Linked DNA regions of Mus musculus: all the other regions are reported to be linked to region 3. Evidence: microRNA targets listed by miRTarBase, many of them from high-throughput screens and not tested one by one. Region 3 holds a microRNA gene; each other region holds the end of a gene's coding sequence.

What was found. The annotated mature microRNA mmu-miR-335-3p reads UUUUUCAUUAUUGCUCCUGACC and lies in region 3 at 2,197-2,218, shown strand. An mRNA with a match to its seed (bases 2 to 7 or 8) in the 3' UTR can be bound and repressed. Matches are read on the target gene's strand: a 7mer-m8 pairs with bases 2 to 8, a 7mer-A1 pairs with bases 2 to 7 and ends in A, and an 8mer does both.
Region 1: the mRNA of Zfp92 is a reported target of mmu-miR-335-3p. The part of its 3' UTR that is shown has no 7-base or 8-base seed match.
Region 2: miRTarBase lists Prkacb as a target of mmu-miR-335-3p. Seed matches in the 3' UTR shown: 7mer-A1 at 3,156-3,162.

The regions. Positions count from the first base shown.
Region 1 is chrX:73,422,373-73,425,629 of GRCm38, reverse strand. Zfp92 (zinc finger protein 92) reads right to left here. Exons shown (of 6, transcript NM_009566.5): 6 at 1-3,257. The coding sequence ends at 2,761. Among named protein-coding and RNA genes, the nearest start is that of Trex2, 11 kb to the left of the region's middle.
Region 2 is chr3:146,729,763-146,733,019 of GRCm38, reverse strand. It overlaps Prkacb (protein kinase, cAMP dependent, catalytic, beta), which reads left to right. Exons shown (of 10, transcript NM_011100.4): 10 at 307-3,257. The coding sequence ends at 432. Among named protein-coding and RNA genes, the nearest start is that of Gm36521, 46 kb to the right of the region's middle.
Region 3 is chr6:30,739,158-30,742,414 of GRCm38, forward strand. Mir335 (microRNA 335) reads left to right here and starts at 2,142; the gene lies at 2,142-2,239. Mest (mesoderm specific transcript) reads left to right here. Exons shown (of 12, transcript NM_008590.2): 2 at 1,513-1,667; 3 at 2,984-3,063.

The DNA of each region.
Region 1 (3,257 bases), not on the chromosome of region 3:
ATGCCAGGGTATTCACACAGCACCTGAAAAGCACCCAAAGTCTTAAAAGGCAAATGGTCTGAAGGTAAAGTATGGAGGGAAGACAGAAAAAGGAGGGACTAGAAAACAGCAGGAGTTTTTGATAGTTTAAGCGTTTATAATCTAGTTGCCACTCAAGACACACAAATGAACCATTAGCCCCATTCCCCATCTAGCATAAGGAATGGACCAATTTTCAGGCACAAAACAAGGGAAAGCACAAGCGCCTCTGGTTATTTTGACTTTATCCCAGGAGAAGCTTGTTCGTTCATTTTACATACCTGATTACCATACCTGAGAGAACCTACTACACCTAACTGCCTGCTGAAAACATCTAGGAACCGGAACTACAGTAGAAAACTGAGATGTGTTGCTAGGTATGTAGCAACCACTGGGGACTCTGGAGCATTTCAGGGTACTCCACTCTAAAGTGCTCTACATCTCTCCCTGCAGACCCCACTTTCTGCTGAAAATAACTACACATGACCCCTTCTCTGGAGATTTATCTTTGGGTATAGAAGCTGGTGACAGGCTTACAGGATAGGTATCATGCATTCCCTTCCTAGAGCCATGGAAATGATTATTTAAGAACACATGACAGTCTGCACAGGACCTCCCACTGTGGGTACCTGCACTGCATGAGGCCTAGTTTCCTGTATCTGTGCCAGCCCTAGGAGAGACTGTCTGAGCAGTTACTTCACCAGGGAATTAAAAGACACTGTTCTTAGTATTTCATTTTCTAGTGGGAAACCAAGGTAGCAGATACTTTGGACTGCGTCCAGGAGCCACTGAAGCCAACTACTACATAGCCCAAGTCCAGTACACTAAGAGAGCAAGGCTCTTTCACTAGTATCCAACATGGGACTTGGAGTGGAGACACAAGGCTGAGCACAACATACAACTGCAGGCTCATGAGAAAGAAAGCAATCACAGGACAAGTCTGGAGGACATGGAGATAAGAGCAAGCTATAAACTAGAACTTTACACAAAACATTTTATATACATAAAACGTGTGTGTGTGTGTGTGTGTGTGTGTGTGTGTGTGTGTGTGTGTGTGTGCATATTTGTGTAAGAATATCTGAAGTTATTCTGTGACCAGGGCCCCAACCAGCATCCCAAGTTTCCAGGTCTTCCCATACTCTCTTGGCAGGAGGCAGTTGTCTTTGAACCTCACTAACCTTGCAGGGAAGGTACCATCACTCTTCTTGGAGTGCCCAAGGGCAGCCTCCACTTTACCCGTACCCCCCACCTGCCCTCAGGCAGCTTTGTGAGAAAATCTTTCTCCCTCCTGGGATATGAGAGGACTGGAAAGTAGCTTGCTGCCCAGGATGCTGAGCTGAGTATACCAAGGGACAAATCTCCAGGGTTTCTGCACAGGCAGAATAGAACTGCTACAGATTTTCTTATAAAACACCTTCCCCTTAGTTCTAATTAAAGTCAACCAGGCTTAAGACGTGTGTGTGTGTGTGTGTGTGTGTGTGTGTGTATGTGTGTTTGTGTGTATTTGTGTGTGTGTGTGTGTATGTGTGTGTGTATGTGTGTGTGTGAGTGATATCACTTGGAGGGCCAGACTTGCCACCATACTCACCAGTCATGGGCTGGAAAGGCTACTTTCTCCTGTCTGAGCTTGGGCAGGAGTCAGGGATGGAACACAGGGCCCGAGGTCTGCTAGGCATGTACTCCACCTCTGAGCTACACCCTCTGCCTGAGGAATTTTTATAAAGGATCAATTCCCCAACACTCTCATATAACAAAGATCTCCATTTCCCAACTTTTACCTGCAAACAAAAGCATATTAAAATAATGGCAACTTTAATATTCTAACAAATGTCATCTGTCTGAAAGGTAATTGTCTGGCCAGACTCATTTCTGGGGCCATCTAAGTGCAAACTCCTAACCTGTTATCAGCACACAATGGGTTCCATGAAAGGGATTAGCAGAGAAACTGTAGGTATTGAGACAGTGGATAGGAGTGGCACAAAGAGGCCATGTCTTACCTACGCCCTTCTTCTATGAGGCACCAGAGGAAAGAGGCTCCTTTCCCAAAATGGAGACCCTCAGGTCTCTGGACTTTAACCTCTCTGCAAGATGACAGCTTTGGTACAGACCCTCCAAGCAGCAGCAGGGGTACATAATAGGGTCCAAGTTTTCACATATAGCCTAGCCTGCGCCCCAGGACAGCAGGTTCCCTGTGCTTTCCTATAAAGCATCAAGTCAATTTTAGAGCTCCTTCAATTTATAAACTTTTAATGGAATAAAGTAGCTTTAGTATATTTTCCCTAGAAACACAACTCTCAAGGGGAGGAAACCACCCCACATTAAACAAGGGAAAGGACATGGGTCATCTGTCTGTAAACTTCATGGTAACTGTGCCTAGAGTCGGCTGGACCTACCTGCTTCCCTTCTAACTACATCAGGCAATTCCCATGTGGATGGAAAAGACCAACTCTGTATAAAACAAATCTGCTCACTTGGAGACCCCACTCACACAGGCACTCACACACCGAAGCACACACAGGAGAACCCTGCCTAGGTAACTTGAGGAGCCTGCCTGTACAATCTCTAGGCATCAATTGTATCATCCAGGACTACGGAGGGAGCTTTCCTTTTCGACCTATCAGGGAAGGAGCAGGACAAACTACACTGAAGGTGGAGGGCACTCTGTCATTCTGAATTGCTTCTCTGTTTCACACTGGGGAAGGGGCCATCCTGCCATTCTGAACTGCTGCCCTGTTTCTGGCCTCAAGGTGAGGATGGACCGTGGGGCTTCTCAGCATACACGAAAACTACACTGCCTTCGCTGTCGCTTTCCTCTGTGGGCTGGGCTTCCAGATGTTGGCTGAGCAATGACTTATCCTCCAAAACTGAGGTGCTCGAAATAACAGGCTTCTGTTTCTTGTCATCTTCGTCGTCATGGATGCGCAAGTGGCGACACAACAGCAACTTGTTCTCGAAGACCTGGCCGCAGCGCTCACAAACTTGGGGCTTCTCATTGGTGTCGATGGGCTGGGGTTCTGCGGAGCTACCTTCTCCAGCCTCTTGGGGCTGCTGCCCATGGAGGTCCCGCAGATGCTCCAGGAGCTTGCGCTGGAATCCCTTCCCTCGAGTGCGGTGCTGGAGCCGCACCCCACCATGCACCACCTGGTGCTTGAAGAGGTTGGCCCGGCGACCAAAGGCCCGGCCGCATTCGCTGCACTCATAGGGTTTCTCACCTCTGTGGACCCGCTGGTGTTGGCTGA
Region 2 (3,257 bases), not on the chromosome of region 3:
ACAGAAGAAAGGAAGTTGGAGAAAATACTGAAAGTCTTGGAAATAAATTGATAAAAATAAAATAAAATGGAGAGTAGTTCTCTCGAGCCTGGAGCCCACACTCTGATGCTGTTCTCTGTTGGTCTGCACTCGTGTTTGTGGTTCTCAGTGAAAACATGAGGCTTTAGCTAACTTCTGTGGATCGTACTTCAAGCACTTCTGTGTTTAAAGATGCCCGTGTGAGCTAGGCTGGGAAAGCATTGTTCTTGGTGTTTGGAAGTGTCTGAGGAGTTCATTCTCTCACTTGCCTCCTGATGTCGATTACAGGTTGAGGCTCCATTCATACCAAAGTTCAGAGGCTCTGGCGATACCAGCAACTTCGATGACTATGAAGAAGAAGAAATCCGTGTGTCTATAACAGAAAAATGTGGAAAGGAATTTTGTGAATTTTAGGGAGGAGAAAGATAGCCTGGAGCTCACACTCAGCCCTTGCACGCTGTGGAGGTGGAAGGTGGAGCCGAGACCTGCTTGTTGGAGCGGGTTCCAATCCCTTCATTCCAGCAACTGCGTGAGGTCTTTCCTGCGTCATCAGTGTGCGCTCGCTCTGCAACCACCTGTGTCCCCAGGCACGGCTCCGCAGCATCGTCTGCCATAACACGGTGTGCACCACGTCCTCCTGGTTTGGTTTTTCTCCACCCTCCTATATCCTTCTCATTCACTTCTCTGACCAGTGCTCCCTTTATTTTCCTGGTGTTTCAGATGGGCAGTGTTATGGCTGTGTGATATTTAAAAGGAAAGCTACATGTTGCTTTTTGTAGTTTTGAGCAATATTTTTGCTGACCAGTGGCTTGAAGATAAACTCTCTAATGATTATTTTTATTTTGAGTAGCTTGAATTCAGTTTTGCCAAAACTCTTAGTAATTTTGAAGATGGAATGTCTTGTCAGCATGGGAATTTGCATAAGTAAAGATAACTTTTCAGGGGTCACTGATGCAGCAGTGAGTCAGAGCGCCTAGAGAGCAGTGAGGACTCCTGGACGAGAGGCTACGTTCCCCTGGGCCTTCTAGTGCTCTTCACTCCGTGAGATAGTAAGTGACCAGACAGATAAGTGAGGGGCATGGCTCCTCGCCGCAGCTGTCTCCCTTGGTACCGACCTCTCTGTGGGCTGGAGAGAGGCCTAAGGTTTCTGAGCCTTGGCTCTTCCATGGGGGCTTCAGCCAGTATTTGAGGAAAGTGTGACTGAGAAATGACACTTTGGGAGGTTTCTCCGTCCTCATCGGTGGGCTCTTAAGGGAAAAGAGCAAACGTGCATTTGGATAAATGCTAAGTCAGCAGAAGCCTTGATACCTGCTTGCAGCTTAGAGGTTCTCTCCTTTAAGGGAACTTGTCTGTTTGCTTTGGTTCGTACCAGGTAAGAAAACAAGCAAAGCAGTAGCTTATTGCGTCCTCTTCTGAGGGAAGAAGACGGCAGGCGGGCACTGCCGCAGCTCTGCCGTGTCCCTGCCTGGCTAGTGACAGGAGAACGCAAAGCTTGAGACACTGCCACATTTGTATTTCATGCTGAGCTGTGATATCTTTAAGTACGTCAGAATTGCTAACCTCTTCCTTCTCTTTCATAGACAGAGTATATGATCATGCGGATACAGTTTTCATATTTGCTTTTCCTTAATTTTTCTATACATTTTGCCAATTGACTTAACAATGTTGCCATCGTGAGGACATTTCAAGCACTCTTGCACATTTAGTTCAGTGTTCCTTTGTGAATAAATGGCTTCACTTTTTTTTTACTATACTTTCATTACTTTTAATTTTCTCACCTCATTTTATCTCTGTATCAGTGACCTACCTTAAATAGTCCACTTACCCAAATAGTTTAAAATATTTCATTTCATGATGAATCTCCAAGGATATAAGATTGTTTTAAGTCAGACAAACCCTGTTGTATATAGAGCCTCTCTATCTGCCTCCTTACTGGTGCAGGTAGGTCATTGACAGCAGTCCTAGTCATATGCACACACACCCTCACCAAACCCTTGAAGACATTGAAAATCCTATCTGAGACCTTCTCTCCACCTATCTGCATGTGTTTTGGTTGTCAAGTGTTTCTGCATGGCAATGTCCCACAGTAACAAATAATGATTTCAGTTGGTCCACCTGTATTTAAAATGTGCAAGAAAAACTGAAATACTCTGCTGTAGCAAGTTCTGTGTAACAAAGATATATCATCGTGTTAATAAACTGAAAGCATCATTTGTATAAAATACTTTATTTACTTTTATGTATTTCATTTAAATCCAAGAACATGCTAATCATGTGTTCTATGTATGCTACAAATTCTCTGGTAGCGTTGTTGTATATTAATGTAAAATTACTTCAATAAATTGTGGGGATGACAATTTGATTATTATAATTTAGTTTTCAAAAATTGATGAACAGATTTCTATGAATCCTAAAAATATTTTTTTCTATAAAATTATTAGTGCCCAGCTAGAATCTACCCAGGTAGATGACACCTAGGTTTCTGGGGCTTCTCAGCCATTCCATTTTATTGTCTCTGTTGGAAGTACACGAGCAAACCATCAGCTGGGTCAAGGGGTCTCTTTCTGACTAACCAAGTACACTAAATTGGAGTATTTTTAACATGCCTAAAATTCCCATTTTTAGCCACAGCTGAAAAGACTTTCTTTAAAAACTTGAAATAGTAAGTCAGTGGCAAAAACCAGTATTTTATTCAAAGTATATTACGTAAGACAGAAGAAATGGTGTTTTGCCCATTAAATCAAGAGATGGCATTGTATAGGACAGAGCCCTGGACTGAGGGAGACTTGTTGGAGTGGCGTTGTGCAGACAGAGGGCAGAAGCAGGCACGTTGTGGGACCCCCGACTCCCTGAGGTAGGTCAGGATTCCCTCCTCAGCTAATATTCTCAAGGGTATCCCGCTGTGAAGTAAGCTTTGATAGCAACACGTTTCTGTTTGTCCTCCCTCTTACCTCCACAGTGTGCTGAAAACCCTTTGACTATCAGAAAGGCCTTGTCTGTTCCATTCCTTCCTTCCTCCCTCACTGATGCTAAATAGACACTTGATATCAAACTGTCAGCCTACCAAAAAGAAGCCGTGGCTTATGGGTATTGCTGTCTTGTTCTTGGTGTGTACCTGTACTGATTGCCCCTTGGTCTGAAAAAAAAAAAAAACAATGCTCATTGTAAGCCTAAAAATACATGATTATCTTTTCCCACTGACTGTTGTTCTTTCCTTCTGCTTGTTGTAAGAATCAAAT
Region 3 (3,257 bases):
TGGGGTATTTTTACCAAGGTAACTAAAGCTGAGAATGGCTGGGGGGGGGGGTTGTCCCCCCTTTCCTGCATGGAGGAGGTGCACTGAGGTATGGTCCGGAGAGCGTGGGTGTGGCACCTCTGTTTCCCTGCGCCAGCAGGAAGCCCCTGTTCACTCTGCAGTAGGCGCCCCTCCCCGGCGTTCTGCTGAGTCACTGCGGATTCAGTGAGTCCAGCAAGGATGCCCCAGAGGCTACATGAAAATGTATGAACAGGTAACAGGACCAAATGGGTTCTGAGGAAATGAGCAGTAACAACAAAAAGACCCCCCCCTCCCCCAAACCTAATGCTTTTGCTTTTCAAAGAGGTTCAGCCTTAAAACCCGTTAGTGGATAACAGACTGAGATAAAAACCATCGTGTTCTGGCACTGTGCCAGGCATTTCTAGTATAGCCTCAAAAGGTAGAACCAAAGCCTTGTGTCTTTATTGGACAGTGACTTTGGAGGAAGGAAAAAAAAGTCTCAGCGCTGACTAAAGTTGAGGCAGGCAGCTGAGGTTCCTAAGGGGTGCTGGTTTTTACCCACCATTTCAGGTTTACAGAGAACACCCCCCCCACACACACAAAAACCCAGTCAGTTTCATCAAATTGCAGGTAATGTGTTATGTATAGGGTGCACTCAAATACAAAGACAGCGGTTTTATTTGTAGCTCACTTCCTAATGTCTGTAGCTTTAGTTTAGGAGGCACTATCCCAATTCTTTAGAGAACCCTTTCCTTGGTGACCATGGCGGGTCACAAAGGAAATGGTTTCTAATCGTGCCTTATTTCTCGCCTCCAGGATAAATTGATCTGGACCTTTGAAATCCAGGCATGGCAAGCTGGGGCCACAAATCTGTGCTTCCCCCCCCCTCCTGCCCCCCCCCCCCACAAAAGTCTTGAGTGCTAGGTGTGGGGGTGGGGTCTTAATTAAATAAAAGGGAACCACCTCAAGAGTCTGCTAAGAATGCACAAATATAATCTGCTGCCCAGACTTGTAAGAGATTAGATATTCAGGGTCAGGGCAAAGCTGCTTACTGGAATTCTCCTGGTCTCTCCCCTCAACAGTTCCATAGCCCAAATGCAGACAGTAGTGCCAAATGGGGATTCACTTGGTCAGAGGATATGTATGTGTTAGAACCCAGGAGCAGCTCTCTGCTTAAGGCCATGCAGTAAGTTACATATGTGCTTGGAAAGAATGGTAGTGAGCTAGTACAGTGACTGCCAGATGTCAAAGGGTAAAGGTGTTTATCACATTCTTCTTGGTAAAGTTTATGCCATTGTCACGTTGGGTGGGGAGGTGTGGAGTGGGGAAGGGAGGGGTGAAGTGGGGAGGGGAGGGGTGGAGTGGGCAGGGGAGGGGTCGAGTGGGAAGGGGTGGGGAGGGGAGGGGAGGGATGGGGGGTGGGGTCAAACCTCACAGTGCCCAGGTTTCCCACCCATGTTTCATTCTGATTTTTGGAAGTGTACAATGTTACCTTGGCTGCTTTTTCCACAGGATGAGAGAGTGGTGGGTCCAAGTAGGGCTCCTGGCTGTGCCCTTGCTGGCTGCGTACCTGCACATCCCGCCCCCTCAGCTCTCCCCTGCTCTGCACTCATGGAAGACTTCTGGCAAGTTTTTCACCTACAAAGGCCTACGCATCTTCTACCAAGGTGAGAACTGGGCTATTGGAGAATCCCAAGGACGTGGGTCGTGTAGGTTTCAGCTGAAGTTACTTATTTTGTGTCCCTTGGTCTGTTGCTCCACAGTGAAGGTGAGGTGAAGGTGGGGGTAGAATTGTGCCTGGTAGTAATTGCAGCCCCATTTGTATTTGAGAAATTACTTTTCTCTTTTGAGCGCCCCTAGTGTCAGGTAAGCTATATAGTATTTCGAGATCTATCTATACCTTTGTTTCCCCCACGCCCCACCCCATTCCCAAATTCATGCACTATTTTCCGTGATTTGTTATATGTAGCTGATAAGATTGACTTGATGACTGCTATTTAATTACCACACTCAGGATATTCAGTTATATTTTAACCTTCATTATTTCATTTTTCACTTAATTTTTACAACAGCATTTGGAGATAGGTGCCATTAACCTCATTTTATAGCTGAAGAAACCGAGAAACAGATTGGAAAAGATTTCTTTTGGGCGGGGGTCAAGAGCAATAACGAAAAATGTTTGTTTTTCGTAAACCGTTTTTCATTATTGCTCCTGACCCCCTCTCATGGGTTATAGCCAGTCGAGTAAGTATGCATTTTTTTTTTTATGTTGGCTTGTTGTTCTTTCCCAGACTTGATATTCAGTGTTACATCTTATTTGCATAGGTTCTTTAGGTTAAATCCAGTATATGATATTTTAATTGCTTTTAATTAAATAATTTCTGAAAACATGCTACCAAAGTTTTATTCCACTAGCAGTATTAATTTCAATCCAGTACTGTTGGCAAGGTATTTTATTGTTTGAATAATCTGAAATATGTCACATACAGAAAAAGTTCCCATCACTATTAGCCCATCTTTGTAACAGTTTGATTTTTTGAGTTGCATGAATTCTGCTAGTATATGGACAAATGGTATAAGCTCAGGTGATCCACTGGGAAGAACTGTCACATCTTAGATATTAGGTGTGATAAATATTGATTAGGGACAAAGAAGTTTTAGCTTGCTGTGATTATAGTATTTTAACTGTTTTTCCTTTTTATTTAAAAATTTGAGTTTTATATTAATGTCAGCGAAAATATGAGGATGTCTACACAACTCTTAAGTGATGATGAACAAACTGTTTTAAGGGTTTTCATGTAAAGCATGCCATTACGATTTAAAAGCGCAGATTAGGAGGAAGCTCCTGAAGTCCTGTCAGCTTGCTTTCTAACACAGCATGGTGATGTCATTCATTTAGTCTGATCCTTTTGACTGGATTAGATTTTGGTGTCGTCAAGGCTGCCTTGCATGCAGTTTGCCTCATTTCTCATTTTCCTCCTAGATTCTGTCGGTGTGGTCGGAAGCCCTGAGATAGTTGTGCTTTTACATGGCTTTCCAACATCCAGCTATGACTGGTACAAGGTAATAATGTTTCTAGGTCTGGCTTATGTCCTAAAAAAAATACTCAAAACTCAAGATATTTTTTTTGTTGTTGTTGTTGTTCTGGTCAGCCCTAGAATTCTTTTGCAGATTTGAACTGTTTGATAAAATCTCATTAAATGTAGAATTGCTTTTTATGTACTGTAAGGGGAGTAAAATACTGACTGCAGAAAGGG